Oryctolagus cuniculus: one gene and its partner. The main gene of each other region encodes a partner of the protein of the gene in region 2 in a complex. Links are inferred from orthologs where the notes say so. Each region holds a gene or a part of one and is shown on either strand. Other genes may lie near its edges.

What was found. The genes of interacting proteins can lie anywhere in the genome.
Region 1: the proteins of DLC1 (region 2) and TNS2 are in contact, whole or in part, in an NMR structure (PDB 2LOZ), measured with the Homo sapiens proteins. The link is inferred for Oryctolagus cuniculus from reciprocal best matches to the Homo sapiens genes DLC1 and TNS2. Residues at the interface, in NP_001335010.1 of Homo sapiens: Glu811, Asp812, His813, Lys814, Pro815, Gly816, Thr817, Phe818, Pro819, Ala821, Leu822, Thr823, Asn824; in NP_736610.2 of Homo sapiens: Asp1268, Leu1269, Leu1270, Arg1271, Gln1272, Gly1273, Ala1274, Ala1275, Cys1276, Lys1317, Ser1319, Ala1320, Gln1321, Thr1324, Leu1387, Asp1388, Pro1389, Asp1390, Gln1391, Val1403, Leu1404, Leu1405, Gly1406.

Annotation. Positions count from the first base shown.
Region 1 is NC_091442.1:56,122,155-56,128,960, reverse strand, and holds the end of TNS2 (tensin-2), read right to left. Parts: coding exon 6,425-6,806; intron 6,316-6,424; coding exon 6,165-6,315; intron 6,090-6,164; coding exon 5,506-6,089; intron 5,414-5,505; coding exon 5,324-5,413; intron 4,995-5,323; coding exon 4,869-4,994; intron 4,695-4,868; coding exon 4,602-4,694; intron 4,509-4,601; coding exon 4,431-4,508; intron 4,299-4,430; coding exon 4,221-4,298; intron 3,867-4,220; coding exon 3,698-3,866; intron 3,619-3,697; coding exon 3,550-3,618; intron 3,447-3,549; coding exon 3,417-3,446; intron 3,272-3,416; coding exon 3,133-3,271; 3' UTR 2,673-3,132; downstream 1-2,672. Other genes in the region: SPRYD3 (SPRY domain-containing protein 3), read left to right, coding at 80-137, 619-738, 826-998, 1,255-1,362, 1,946-2,146. UniProt on the Homo sapiens protein: Tyrosine-protein phosphatase which regulates cell motility, proliferation and muscle-response to insulin. Phosphatase activity is mediated by binding to phosphatidylinositol-3,4,5-triphosphate (PtdIns(3,4,5)P3) via the SH2 domain.
Region 2 is NC_091433.1:77,299,124-77,306,575, forward strand, and holds part of DLC1 (rho GTPase-activating protein 7), read left to right. Parts: intron 1-3,439; 5' UTR 3,440-3,546; coding exon 3,547-4,584; intron 4,585-7,452. UniProt on the Homo sapiens protein: Functions as a GTPase-activating protein for the small GTPases RHOA, RHOB, RHOC and CDC42, terminating their downstream signaling.

The DNA.
Region 1 (6,806 bases), on a different chromosome or scaffold from region 2:
ATGGGTGATCCGGCTGCCGCCCTGTCCTGTCCTTTGTTGTGCGTGATTCCATGGGTTTCCTCCTCTCTGCTCACTGCAGGACTACCCCAAGAACAGGCACCCCGGCTGGAGCCGAGGCTCTGTGGCTTATCATGCAGGTGAGTGGAGGACATGCAGCTGAGGGAGTGGACTGGAGGGGCTCCCAGTGGCCTGGCCCTGGCTGCCAGTGCTTTCTCCTCATCTGTGTTTCCTCTCCCAGCCCGGAAAGCCGGGGTAGCAGATCGTGGTGGGAGATTGGGCCGAGCTGGACATTTCAGGCCCCCCTGGGCCCCTCCTGCAGATCTGCAGGGTCCTGGTTTCCTTTTCTTTCTCCTTTTTGGCCTGTTGGGTGCCTTCAGGGCTTCCGCCTCTCCCTCCCCTCTCTGCCAGCAGCTCCCCAGCAGGTTTCCCCTTGTGCTGAGGGACCTCGTGTCCCTGCTCTTGTCACTGGGCGCCCCCTCCCCACGTCTGTCTCCATCCTCGTTTCCTGTTGGGTGCTCCCTTCCACTGAGCCCGCACCGTGGGTGGGGAGGTGACCGCTGCCAGTCGGGGTGGCTCTGGGCTCCCTCAAGCACAGGTCTTGTCCTCTCCCTGTGACAGATGACGGGAAGATCTTCCATGGCAGTGGCATGGGGGACCCCTTCGGGCCACGCTGTTACAAGGGGGACATCATGGGCTGTGGCATCATGTTCCCCCGGGACTACATCCTGGACAGTGAAGGTCAGTGGGGTGCGGCGGGGCGGGGTGGCCAGTGGCTGCCAGTGGCTGCCCAGCATGAACGGGAGCTGAGGTTTCCTGGTTTCCCAGGGGACAGTGATGACAGCTGTGACACAGTGATTCTGTCTCCAACTGCCCGGGCTGTCCGGAACGTCCGGAACGTCATGTACCTGCACCAGGAAGGGGAGGAGGAAGAGGAGGAAGAGGAAGAGGAAGACGATGGGGAAGAGATAGAGCAAGAGCATGAGGGCAAGAAGGTGGTGGTGAGTGGGGGAGGCTGTGGCGCGGGGCTGGGCAGGGTGGGAGAAGGAGGGTCTGCGTGCTCCATCTGCTGAGGTGGGGGGGCCGAGGTTTTCCAGCCCTGGACGCCCTCTTGTGGCCTCTGCTCTTACTACCCTCTGTGCCTCGGCAAGGCCGTGCTGGGTTGTAGGAAGTGGTTGGAGCTCAGGACTGTGTAGCTCCAACACCAGAAGAGGCCATAGCCCGCCTCCTCCATTCTTCCCCCACCTCCACCCCCAGGTCTTCTTCACCCGGAATGGCAAGATCATTGGCAAGAAGGATGCTGTGGTGCCGTCGGGAGGCTTCTTCCCCACAATTGGGATGCTAAGCTGTGGGGAGAAGGTCAAGGTAGACCTGCACCCCTTGAGCGGCTAGGCCCTCTCCCTCTACTCACTCTGCGGGGCCGGGCACCTAAGGGTTTGCTCGCCCACCAGGCCCCGGGCCGCTGCAGGGTCTGTCTGCCCTTACCAGTGCAGGCCCCTGTCCAGCTCCTCTGCCCACGTTTCTGACCTGGTGCCTCCCTTATTGTCAGTCCCTGTCCTGAGTCCCTGGTTGGCCAGGAATGGGCCCAAAGAATGGTGTTGCTGTAGGAGGGGTCCCACCTGCTTGGGTCCCCTTTCCCTCACTGGCCCCATGGGAATGAGCGGGCGGGTGCCCAGTCTCAGCTGCTATGTGGGCGTGGCACTTTGCAGCGGGTGGAGCAGAAGCCCCGCCCCCGACTCGCCATGGTGTTTCTCGAAGAATTCTCTGTTCTGTTTTCTGTCCTCATCATGTGGACCAGCTGCTGCTGTCACCCCCCTGGCTGGGCTGGGGGGGGGCCTCTTGGGCCACCTTGCTCCTTTCATTGGCTACTGCCCTGAGACTCCCCTTGGGTCTCCTCCGTTCTTTCCCCCAGAGAGCTGGCTTTCTCTCCCTTCCTCTTCCCGTTCAGGCACCGTGGGCCCGCACAGAGCCCGAGTCTCTGCCCCCCCACCTGCATACACACAGATGGTCACCCATCCCACATCTCAGAGGGAGGGGCCAGGGGGCCCTCAACATCTTCTCCTCACCCGGGGCACCCTCGGCCCCAGCTCCCTGGATGGTGCCTGAGGCTCTGGGCTCATCTCTCCGCGGGGTCAGGAGGAGACCCTAGGGCCCCTCAGCCCCATCCGCACCCGGCTCTGTCCCCATGCCCGCTTGCTGCTTGTGCCAGTTGCCTGTCTGCTTCAGTGTTTGATTCTAGCACTCACTTGTGTCCCCCAGCCTCAGAGCTCCTTCTGCCCCCTGGGCCCCTCCCTGTAACGTGACTTCTCCCTGGAGGAGGGCCTTGGGAGCCTCGGGCCTCGGTTTGCACAGAGTGGGTCGGGCTGTGGGGTGGTGGGGGAGCTGCCCCCTTGGCCCTGGTTTCAGGCCCTGCACTATGATGTGTGAAATGTATGTACAGACCAGAGATGTTTACACAGCCAGTAAAGATGGAGTTTCCATAGTCGTCCTTCACAGTGTGCAGGCCTAGAATGGCTGGAGGGAGGGGCAGCTGGGGCAGTGTGTCCGCAGGGCGGACGGGAACCCGTGGTAGCCAGGGCTAAGGAGCCTGTAGGAGGATGTTGCTGGGACTGGCCGTGGACGCACAGGCATGTCCCTGAGAGACCCTGGGAATAAGGCACGACTCCAGCTCCAACCAAAGTATATAGAAATTCTGTATTCTTAGACAAAAATAGACTCTCTTTTTCCCCGTTCCTGTGATCCCACTGTGGTGTCTGCTCAGAGGGGGCAGAGCGGGGAATGACTTGCCCCCACACTCCACCCTCTCCCTGCCGCGCTGGGCCCTGCAGCTGGGTGGAGCCGGCAGGGCCCGAGTCCCCTCCGGGGCTGGTGTCCTCCTGCAGCCGGGGCTGTCCTGCTCCCCGTCACACGCCCGTCTCTGCCATCTGCTCACGTGCAAGGTCATCTCGTGGGCCCATCCACTTAGCTTAGCAGGCTGGGGGGAGGGGGAGAGCAGGGTCCCAGGTGAAGGCCCACTCCCGGTTCCCAGGGGAGGGTGCTGGTTCCTGGGCCCCCTGGTCCAGGCCGGGGGAAGTGAGGGCTGCAGGATGCTGGGAGGGCGCAGTGTGCACGTGGGCGGGGCACGCGTGGCCTTCTTCACTTCCTCTGGCCCAGTAGAACTTTGGTGATGAAGGTGACGATGGCGCCTGCGGGCTGGTCTGGGTCCAGCTCTGCGAAGACGTGACACACATTCTCCCAGGGGCTTCCTGGCTTCTTGGCCACAAAACCAAAGATCCTGGTGGGGGAGGGGGCGAAGCCATGGTGGGAGGGGCATCAGCTTGCCCTCCATGAGGGAATGTAGCTGGCGGGGGTAGGGGTGGGGTCGTCTGGCTCCACTGCCAGCCTTGGGAAGGAGGGGACGGCGCCCAAGGAAGGCTTACTTGGAGGTGGTCCCGTCGGGGTTGGTCCATCTGCAAAGGAGGAGAACCATGAAGGAGCAGCGGGAGGGGGAGCTGGGGGTGGGGCCTGTGGGAGCACAAGGCAGTGGGGGGTTGGGTGTGGAGCGAGGGTCACCTCCGGTCCTGAGGGTCAGTGCTGGAGAACGTGATGCTATTCACCGGGTAATGGCGGCGAAAGAAGAGCCTGCAAGGGGGAGGGGCGCTAGTCACACAGGGACGCCAGGGCCCCCAGAGCCCCCAGGGGCACGGGCACATGGACTCACTTCCTCTGGTTGTCCGTCAGTGTGATGCCCTGGGCTGAAACCTTGAAGTGGACCACGGCTGGCGTTGGGCGTGGGCTGCAGCTCAGAGCTGCCGAGCTGGCCCGGGCCACAGCTTGGGGGCCCGTCAGTGACTCGGTGCCCACCGAGGTCAGGTAGAGCACGCTGCAGGCTGCAGGGGCACAGGCTGTGTCAGGGAGGGAGCGCTGACGCTGCCAGCCCCCAGCCAGCCCTGGCATTCTCCCCAGCTAGTGCTGTCAGGTCGCATTGTGATCACTTAGGCGACTTGTCAGAACGATTGCATGAAACCCTCAGATGTACAGGTCAGAAATGCTGAAAAGCGGCCTGGGGTTCTGTATGCTAACCAGGCCCCTCCCCTTGGTCTCCCCTGAGACTGGAGAGCCTTGACCCAGGCCCCCTTCACGGGTGAAGTGCACCTGCCACAGCTCATCTGCCTCAAAGCCTACCAGGCCCTGTACCTGCAGCAGCCCAGCGGTGCTCAGGGGGAGGGAACGGGGGTCTCTACCTGCGCCCTGACGCAGGAGGTCTGCCGCCGTGCTCATGTTGGTGGGCACTGGGACCTCTGGGGTCTCTTCTAGAGGATCTGGGAGGAAACGAGGGCCAACAGGGGAGGTGAGCAGGCAAACGTGTTCCCCGGGAACAGAGGGCTCTAGCAGCTTCCCCAGGGGAGGCTTCAGGGTGGGGGGCACCGGGGAGGGGGTCCGCAGACACCCACCTTTGCTGGGGATGCGCAGGCAGCAGGGCAGGGAGATGGGGGAGATGGAGTGCTGGGAGACCAGGGCGGAGAGGCTGCCTGTGGGCAGGAGGCGAGAAGAGTCCCCAAGGGCCCGGCACCCTCTTGCCAGCCCTTGGCCTCCCTAAGCCAGCCCTGGCCCCTGCATCTCACCGAAGTAGGGCTCAGTGGGACAGCCCTTGATCTTCACCCCTTTGGGCCCAGTCTCGATGAGGAAATGGCGGACCAGCTGTTCCAAGGGGTCCCCTGGGAGGAGAGACGAGAGGAAAGTGAGGCTGTAGCCACACATTCAGCATCCCCCACTTCTCCTGAGCAGCACAGCCCCATCTTCCTGTCCACCCACCACTCCCCGCCATTGCCTTGCCTCGGGCACAGCCCCTCCCCCCAAGCCCCCCCCCCCCCAGCTTCGGGCTTGTGTACCTTTCCAGGGCTGAGCGCTGGGTGGGGGGGTGGCCACCTTAAGGGCCAGCCCGTAAGCTCCTTGGAATGAATGACTGTCCCTGATCAGGAAGGCCCCAGGGTCCTTGTCCTTTAGCAGGGCGATGGCTGCAGGCAGGAGGAGAGGCAGGGCTGGGTTTCCACAGCGGCTGGCTCAGCCCTGCGCCGGCCGCCAAACTCCTCTGCTAGCGGGCGGGCACCCAGGCCTATCTTGCCCGGACTGCAGCCCAGTGGGCTGCCGGGAGTCTGGGGATGGAACTTGAGAGTGTTTGCAGGGTTTTGGATGATGTTGAGTCTTAACTTCCTTGGGTCCAAATCCCAGAATCACCGGCTCTGGAGCCAGGAGCAGGAGCCCAGGCATGGCCAGCTAGAATGGTTCTGAGAACCCAAGACAGAAACCCCGGCGGTGGGGTGGGAGGGGCAGGCTGGCGGCTCACCTTGGTCACGGGACAGGTGTGGCTTGTACCAGAACTTGGATGTGTCCTGGACGAACTTGACGTTGCTTTGGCTCTCCTGCATTGGTGGCTCTAGACCAGGGAGGCACTGGAGTTAGACCCCAGGGCTCCCTTCTCTGGGGGAAAGTTCTGGAGGAGGCCCCACCCTCTGGAGGCCTTGGTACCTGGGGGTTGAGGGGCACTGTCCGGGAGCAGGGGTGCGAAAGTGACATGGTGACTGGTGCCCCTGGCTGGCGGCGACGCCTGCTCTAGGCCCCAGGGTCCTGGCTGCTGCCCAGGCCCTGGCACATGGCGTTTCTCAGGAAGCGGGGGCTGGGTGGAGCTGCTGGTGTCATAGGATGCAGCCAGGGGGAAGGCAGGCGTGGGTGAGCTCTGGGGTGGCTCTGGGCTGGCCACAAGCCAGGGCATCTGGGTAGGCACAGGGGTGAGGGGGGACCCATCTGGGCTGTCTGGGGGACCTCGAGGGCCCTGCCAGGTGGCGTGGCGGAGGCCGGGCAGCGTAGTGGGCACAGGGCCCCGAGGACTGGCACCGGCCGCATGGCTCCCTGGGCTCCTCTCCTGAGGCCAGTTGCTGGGTGAGCTGGGCGGGGAGGCCGCTGTGAAGGGGCTTGGGGCCAGAGGCTCAGGCCCACTTCTCGCTGGCATCTCAGCAGCCTTGTCAGCACCTCCCTGGGAAACGGGGGGCTCGCCAGGACTCAGTCTCTGCGCGGGTGCCGAGGTGGGGGACCTGGCGTCCTGTCGCCGGGTGCTGTGGGGAGAAAGGCAGCCGGTGAGCTGAGCGCCCTCCAAGCCTGTCTGGGCAGCCCCGGCCCCCGCTGCCTACCTCTCCTTGCCCTGCACCGGGCTGCTGGTATGCAGGGGCGTGGAGGGACCAGATAGCTCTGAAGACGCGCTGCACTGGGGATCCTGGGGGGACGGCGGCAGTGTGCTGTGCCCGCTGGGGCCCTCCCTCCAGGACGTGGGCTCAGGCGACTCTGCCAAGGGCATTGGGTGGCCGTGAGCAGGAAGGGCATTCTAGTCTGGCATAGTATTTTTCTCACTGCCTTCCCAGACCCCAGCACTACCCACCCCAGCGCCCCTCACCTGCAGATGCCAAGGGTCCTGTTGAAGCCAAGTGTCCAGGCAGTGGGTACTTGTCCCCTCCCTCCTCTACGGGGATCTCATAGCTCAGCTTCCTGGACTGTGGGTAGGGTGGGCTGCCCGGTGAAATGGAGCCGGCCCTTGGGGAGTGGGTACCCGGGCTGGAATACCCTCTGGCCTCTCCTGGAGGCTCACAGCTGTGAGGCACCCGCCCGTAGGCTGGGCAGTAGCTGGGAACTGCGCCTCCGTAGCCGTAGGTCACCAGGGCGGGGTACCCGGGATGGCCGTAGCGACCCTCGGGGCACACAGCGTAGGAGCAGCCCTCATGTCCTTCCTCACTTGCCTTGGGTGGCTTCAGGCAGCTGTAGTCGGGCATCAGGGCATG
Region 2 (7,452 bases):
TTTTTGATCAACATCTTACTTCCACTGTCACTGTGAAGTAATGTGATGCCATTCTGTTTGACAATTCCTCCTTTTTTTCCTCTGGTAACATTCAGGATCATTTCCTTGCCTCTTAAGTTCTGAAACTTGATAATGGTGTTGCTTGATGTGATCTATTTTTCTTTCTTGTACTACTACATACTCCATAGGTTCTTTTTCATTAAAAAATCTGGGTCATTCAATCCTGGGACATTTTCTGAAATTTATTTTCTTTGAAAGTTCCTCTCAATTTTCTCTGAAATGTTCTTGAAAAGTGTGTTTCCCCTCCAAAATAGTTAATAAGTTTTCAAGTTGTAAGTAATTCTCTTGAGTTTATTATTGCCTCTGCTATCTTTCCCAAAGAAGTGATTCCAGAATATTAAGAGTCTAAAGCCAGAAATAAAGAAAAACTACTTCCATCTCACAGGGAACTCTACCTCAAATCCCATTTAACTTGCATGTTGCTGATGCAGGATATTTAACACAGAAACCCTAATTCAGGGATTTCCACCTCTGGGATGCTCTGATTGATGTGTATACCAGTTCCCAAACCACTCACTGATAGGCTGGGAGGGAAGAGAGGGAAACCAAGAAGGAGGGAGAGAGGAAGGGAGGAAGGGAGGGAAGGAGGGAAGGAGAGAAGGAGGGAAGGAAGGGTGGAAGGAAAGGTAGAAGGAAGGGAGGGAAAAAAACTGATGATCCCCTCCTTGGTGTACATTTCACAAATATTTTCCAGAATCTCTGCATACTAAGAAGTGCATACAATCTGTTGTAACATTAATACAGTGGTGTTGAATACCTGCATTTAGAAATGAAAAATCACCGTGGAAAGTCACTTCATAAAATCAATACCCTGGGATGACCTATACTTTTCCAGATCTTCCATGAAAATCCTCAGCAGCTGAGCTCATTCAGAATGAAACTGCATGAAAAGGATTACAAAAGAAATTTAACAGAAATTTGCAAAACAAGTACTCAGGAGTTTGAAATGTAATTTTAAATAAAGCAGCCTGGAGGAATACTCATAGCGAGAGTCGGGTCTTTTATAAAAACTCTTCTATCTTACATGACATATTCTAACCAATTCAGATGAATTAGAATATTGGGCCAGTATGCAATTGAGAATAATCTAATGCTTCTATGGATTAATATTCTGTTCAGCCTTTAAATCATGGAAGTATAAATCTTACCAATTGAAATTTAAATAAAAAGTATAGTTGAAAATCTTGTGGAGGTGAATTTTTGAAAAATATATTTATTAGACCGCAGGATATGGAATGGGGTCTCAAAATTAATGATGAGTGATGTCCGTAATGATAATTAGAAAATTTTGTGTCTTAAAAATAAAGACAGCATACATTCACAGGAATGATTTGGAAATGTCTGAAGAACTTACATCAGAAAATGAGGATAGAAAGAGTAATGATGTGTTGAATCTAATTTACAATCTCTCTTTTCAGTTAGGTCATCTCAGAGCTTGTTGAACTATCTTCTTTTGGTGTGATGGGAATAATTATCTACTTGTTAAAAATGAGTGAAATAAGTTAATTAATACTAGCATGGCTCTTAAGGGAAAAACTTTTGTGGAATCTGTCCCAAGGAGTTAATAAAACTATATTTCTCCTTAGTAAAAGAAATGAAGCCAGAATTCAGGCTCAACTTAAACATAAATGTGGCTTAGGAATGACAGAGTAATACCACTTGGCATTTCTTAAGTTAGCCTGCTTTTTCTACACTGGATAAAAATAAAGAAAAGAAAGCATCTAAAACAGAACCGCCCTATTACAACCCAAATTTGCCCATGAAAGCAGAAATTTTCTGGCCTGAATCAATGCGTTTTTTCCCTTTTCCGTAGCCTCCCACACTATAATGACTTATGCATGGAATTCAGAGACTTTATATTTTCTTTTGAGTGCAAAGTGAATGCCAACATGGAAAATGTGAATGCTGACCATTTTCAAAGATGGCCACAGGCCTTTGAAGGAACCAAATAGTATCCAGAAAGATCTTTGGTCAGGATATGGCACCAAAATTCTAGTACCTTCCTTAACTTCAACCAGTCTTTACAGGGTGGGAATATTCACCTTTTAGATATATGCTTAGTCAGAATAGCTTGAAATTGGGGGGGGGGGGGCAGAGTCCTTTCTATAAACTGAAGTGACCCAAAACCAGCACAGCAATTAATCTTGTTTATGGCTAGTCAGTAATCCAGCCCCTGTTATGTGCTGACAGTTCTGCATGGAGTAAAAAATTAAAAATGTCTGCTCTTGAATGGCATTTTTCTTCTAAAGTCCAGTAACTTAGTTTCATTGTGGAACAACTTTTGGGTTAGTCAGTTTTATAAGCTGAATTTACATTGGTACAATTTAACTAAGGGTTTGAACGATTAAAGGCAAAAAGAGACGGATACCTGGAATGCATTTCTATTCTGAGCTTATCTTATGCATGACTCTGATGTTTACTTAAATTTTTATAGCTGAATTCTAACAGAAAGATACAAACTAAACTCCTTAAATGCCAAAGAGAATGATACTCAAATTTCCAGAATAGTCCCAATTGTCTTATTAAGCTCACATCTTCTTTGTGGTTTCCTAGCATTCCTGTGTGAGGGGTTTAGAGTTTACACATACTAAAGATATGTAAAGGCAAAGGATGAAGGAATAACCTCATCTGTCCATGGAGATATAAAAGTGTTTTCGCTGCCGGGGCCTGAGACAGAATAAGAGCCTAGTTTGAATCTGAGCTTTCTAAATGTATGATATTGAGCAAGTCATTTAATTTCTCTAACTTCAACAATACTAGCTTGCTGTCTAGCGGAGGCAATACTAGGATGTGTAAATAGATGTATTTCTCCTAAAGCATTGTAAATGGTGTGTGTGATACTTTCTTATTCATAAATTATGTGTTAAGATGAACTGAACTGAATTATTCCATGTTTCTTAATCACTCCCTGGAGTAAATACATCCTGGTCATTTGAGATTGATATTAGTCCTTTCACACACTAATACATTACATATGCTGTCACTGTGGCTCAAGTTATGCATGAGCAGCTCCCTGGTGGCCTTCAGTGCAATTCAAACCAAATAGCAAATCGATTTCTTAAACAACTTGTATTCACAAAAGTGAATCAGGAAAACATGCAAGCTACAGCAATAAATTTCTTCCAGTAATTTTTGTTAAGTATTGAATCTAAATATCTTCTTAATGGCATTTTAAATTTGACCAAAATTATTAAATGTAAATTTTTCTCTTAATACTAGGCTGCTTCTTTAAAAATAGTACTATTAAAGGTATTCAACAGAGGCTTTGTAACTTCTCTTACCTCTACTTTCATAGTGCAGATTAAGTACTGTCTTTTCAAAGATGTGTTTGGACTTTAGAAATGTATTTCTAACTATATATTTTTAAAATTTTTAATAGGTGATGAAATGACAAAACTCACTCTCTACTTCGATCCATGAATTTGAAACAATCTTTCACCAAGTTCAGTCTCTTTTAGGCTCATATGGAATGTATCTCTCTGTCTGATGTTAAACTATGATGACATGTCTGTAGCTATCAGAAAAAGAAGCTGGGAAGAACATGTGACCCAATGGATGGGACAGCCTCTGAATTCTGATGATTGTAACACAACATGTCATCATGGACTAGTAGCTGATAGATTGCAGGCAAGTATGGAAAAAGATGCAACTCTAAATGTGGACCTCAAAGAGAAGTGTGTTTCACTACCGGACTGCTGTCATGGTTCAGAGCTGAGAGATTTTCCTGGGAGACCAATGGGTCACGTTTCAAAGGAGGTGGGTGAAAATGACAGCCCCGAAGGAGAAGATCCATTTCTCTCTCTGGAGGCCAGCACAGAAACATTAGTGCATGTTTCTGATGAGGACACCAATTCTGATCTATCACTGACCGATGATAAGATTTTAACTACCCAAGGGCATAAAACATCAGACCAACATAGCATTGAAGGAGCAGGCTCCTTGGTAAAGACATTGCCTATCATGGAAAATAACCAAGATTTTTATACTTCCTGGAGAATGGCTGGCAAAGCTGATTTAGCACTGGTAGAAGAAAGTGGAGAGAGGAAAGTTGTTGACATTATAAGTAAAAGCCTGGAGCTTTGTAATGATATAAGCTTACATGAAATTCAAGATGCACCCAAAGTAAATACATTAGATTCTTTGAATGTGAAAGTTATTGTGCCTGAGAAGCAACTGCTTAATTCTGCTGTAATTGCTCAGCAACGAAGAAAACCTGATTTCCCTAAAGATGAAAATGAAAGAAACACCTGCAATGTAGGTCACAATGAGTTCTTGGCTATTCCTTGCACAGACAGAGAGCCTCCATTATCAAAAGCAGATTTTGGAAGCTGCCTTCTACAGCCTCCTTTCTGCGCCAGTGGAATGTCAACTGAAAATGGCCTGGAAAAGAGTGGTTTCTCAGAATATCAAAACAGAAGTCCTCCAAAGGTCAACGCAGAAGATGGCATGCAGTGTTTACACTTACAGGAGCCTCTGGCCACCCAGGAACCCACAGATAGCCAAGTCAGACTTCGCAAGAGAAAGGTAAGCTGCATGCAGATTATCTGCCTTCTGAAATTGTGGACCTATCCTTGTTGTCATCACTTACTCTTTTACTTGGATTAAAGTGATATGTAGAGGTTTCTTTTGCCCTGTAACATGACTGCATAATTCACAAATTATCTGTTTGATGAAACCATCAAAATATGTAAAAATTAAAATATGATAATTGATCCACTATACCAATAACATTTATAATGGTTTTCAAACATTGTATTGTGGAATTGTGTTGAAGAAAGAAGGTTGATATCATTCTCACTGAAACTGAATAGTCACCACTCATTCATAATTCTGTAGTTCAAGACTATCTGAAGAATGATAGCTAATTTTGAAAAAGAAAGTTGTTTAGGGCCTATTCCTTTTTCCTCCAAAAAGTAAATTTTATCCTAATAAATGTGGTATAAATCACATGTTAAAAATAACCCCTTTATGTACATGAAGACAACAGTACTCCCTCTCCCAAAATGTGCTGATGTCATTTTAATGATACCTTGGCAGTTCATTGTCCACAGTATATCATGGTCTCCATTCCTTGCCACAACTTTTCTTTAACTCTTGACCCAAAAAATGCCTATAACTGAAGTTATTTTTCTATGTCAAGGTCCCTTTGACAAATTCTGGAGATGCCATCATCCCCTAAGAAATTCCCAAGTGACAGAAGCAAGGGCTAGAATGAGGTTACATGAATCATGGCTTGACTAGCAAACTCCTGGCCAAAACTTGTCTTATCTTTATGATTTTCCCCAAATTCTTCCAACATTATAGTGCTCTATAATTCTGATATAAATCCAAGCACAATTTCTTCTCCTATAAATCCCATATAGCCATTGGCATTGAAGAAGCCCTGCAGATTGTACATTTTTATGCAACAATTAAAACACTTCCTTGAGCTTCTCTTGATATAATGTTAGTGCATAATTGCAATTCTTTCAACAAAGCTAATGTTGTTAATTTTCTTCCACTGGGGCTATCTATCTACAATAAAAGAAGTCCTGGACTCTCTTTGTGTTGAAGAAATCTGGTTTCCATAAACTGGTTTTGATTACAAACTAGATCAGTAACATGACATGAAGTTAGTATAAGTGAAGTCAAGGACTTAGGGCAAAATTCAGTGTACTCAGACTGTATGCCGTACAAGCATTTCACACTTCTGGAAAACTCTCCCTTCCTTGCATGAATTGTATAAAAACATTAATACTCCATAAAGTTGTTATGATTAAAATGTTCAGGTCATTAATTTCCTAAAATTTCCATGTATCCTATCAAATCTGTTGGAGAGAATGCAATAATGACATAAGAAAGCATTAACTGACCTATGACATGGCTTCCCTAAAGTAAGACAAATTTTTCCCAACTGCCGACAGAAACATTAAACATTCCCAAAACATATGCTCACCACTTGGACATTTATATCAATACTAAGAATGCTGGAAAGAATTTGCTCTTGGACATGTCACTTTAGCATGGTTGCATTTTGAGAGCTATAATTATAGCTCATTTACAAGTTCTAACTTAAATAATTCTATTTTAAGCATTTCATCATGCTAAAATGTTGTGGCATTGTCTGGTGGAATATTTACTTTGATTCTACAACCCATTTAGGATGCCTTGTAATGAATAAAAATGCAAATTTTAAGATCAAATTTTACTGTGGAAAAGTATAGTTATGAGAGAAGCGCCTAGAATTAAGATGTGTAGAATTTTTTGTTTTTGTTTTTTTTTGGGGTGTTGAATGAGTGTTAAAATATCTTTAAGTTGGCTATTAGCCATTTAAGAACTTTACCAAGAGATATAATAGAACATATATATATATATATAAAGATATATACAAAGATGTTCATCATTGTATCATGTTACTGCAAAGGAGGAGACAGCCTATTTCCATCTGAAAAGAATGTATTTAGTTATGGATCCATTTGTGAATAGCTATGCCGTCTTTGACAAGATGGAATGGGATCCATGTACACTAGCTGTAAAAAATATGCATGATGCAGTGTATATGGGGGAAAAACAGTAACAGACCAATATGCATAGCACACTCAAGCCTCACATGACAAAGTGTTTATGTACATATAGAAATTAATAAAAATATAGACAGGAGTAGAAACCTCTTTATAATACTGAATAAGAATATGCAAAATCCTGACCAAAATGCACAAAATTGTTAACAGAAGTTACTTTGATTTTTTGCAATTAAGAAAGTAAAAGAGGATTTTCACTTGCCACCCTACATAATCTTTGAAAAAGATGAAGCCGACGTTGCGGCTCAATAGGCTAATCCTCTGCCTTGCGGTGCCGGCACAGCGGGTTCTAGTCCTGGTCGGGGCGCCGGATTCTGTCCCGGTTGCCCTCTTCCAGACCAGCTCTCTGCTGTGGCCTGGGAGTGCAGTGGAGGATGGCCCAAGTGCTTGGGCCCTGCACCCATGGGAGACCAGGAGAAGTACCTGGCTCCTGCCTTCGGATCAGCGCGGTGTGCCGGCCGCAGCAGCCATTGGAGGGTGAACCAGCGGCAAAAGAAGACCTTTCTCTCTGTCTCTCTCTCTCTCTCACTGTCCACTCTGCCTGTAAAAAAAAAAAAAAAAAAAAAAAGATAAAATTATAGGTGAAATGAATACAATGAACAGAAGCACAAAAGTAAAGTAAAATTAGATAAGTAAACTCTTTGGAACATTTTTTGCATTGCACAAAAATTTTTATAATATTATCACTTTTATAAAATGAACAAAGATTTATATAGATATATAGATAGTCTTTCAAAATATCAAGAAACTTGATTTCAAATGTTTGTGCTACTGGTTTAAAATAGATAAGCCTTTGGAAGGACATATATGCAGCATTTTCATGTCTCTAGGA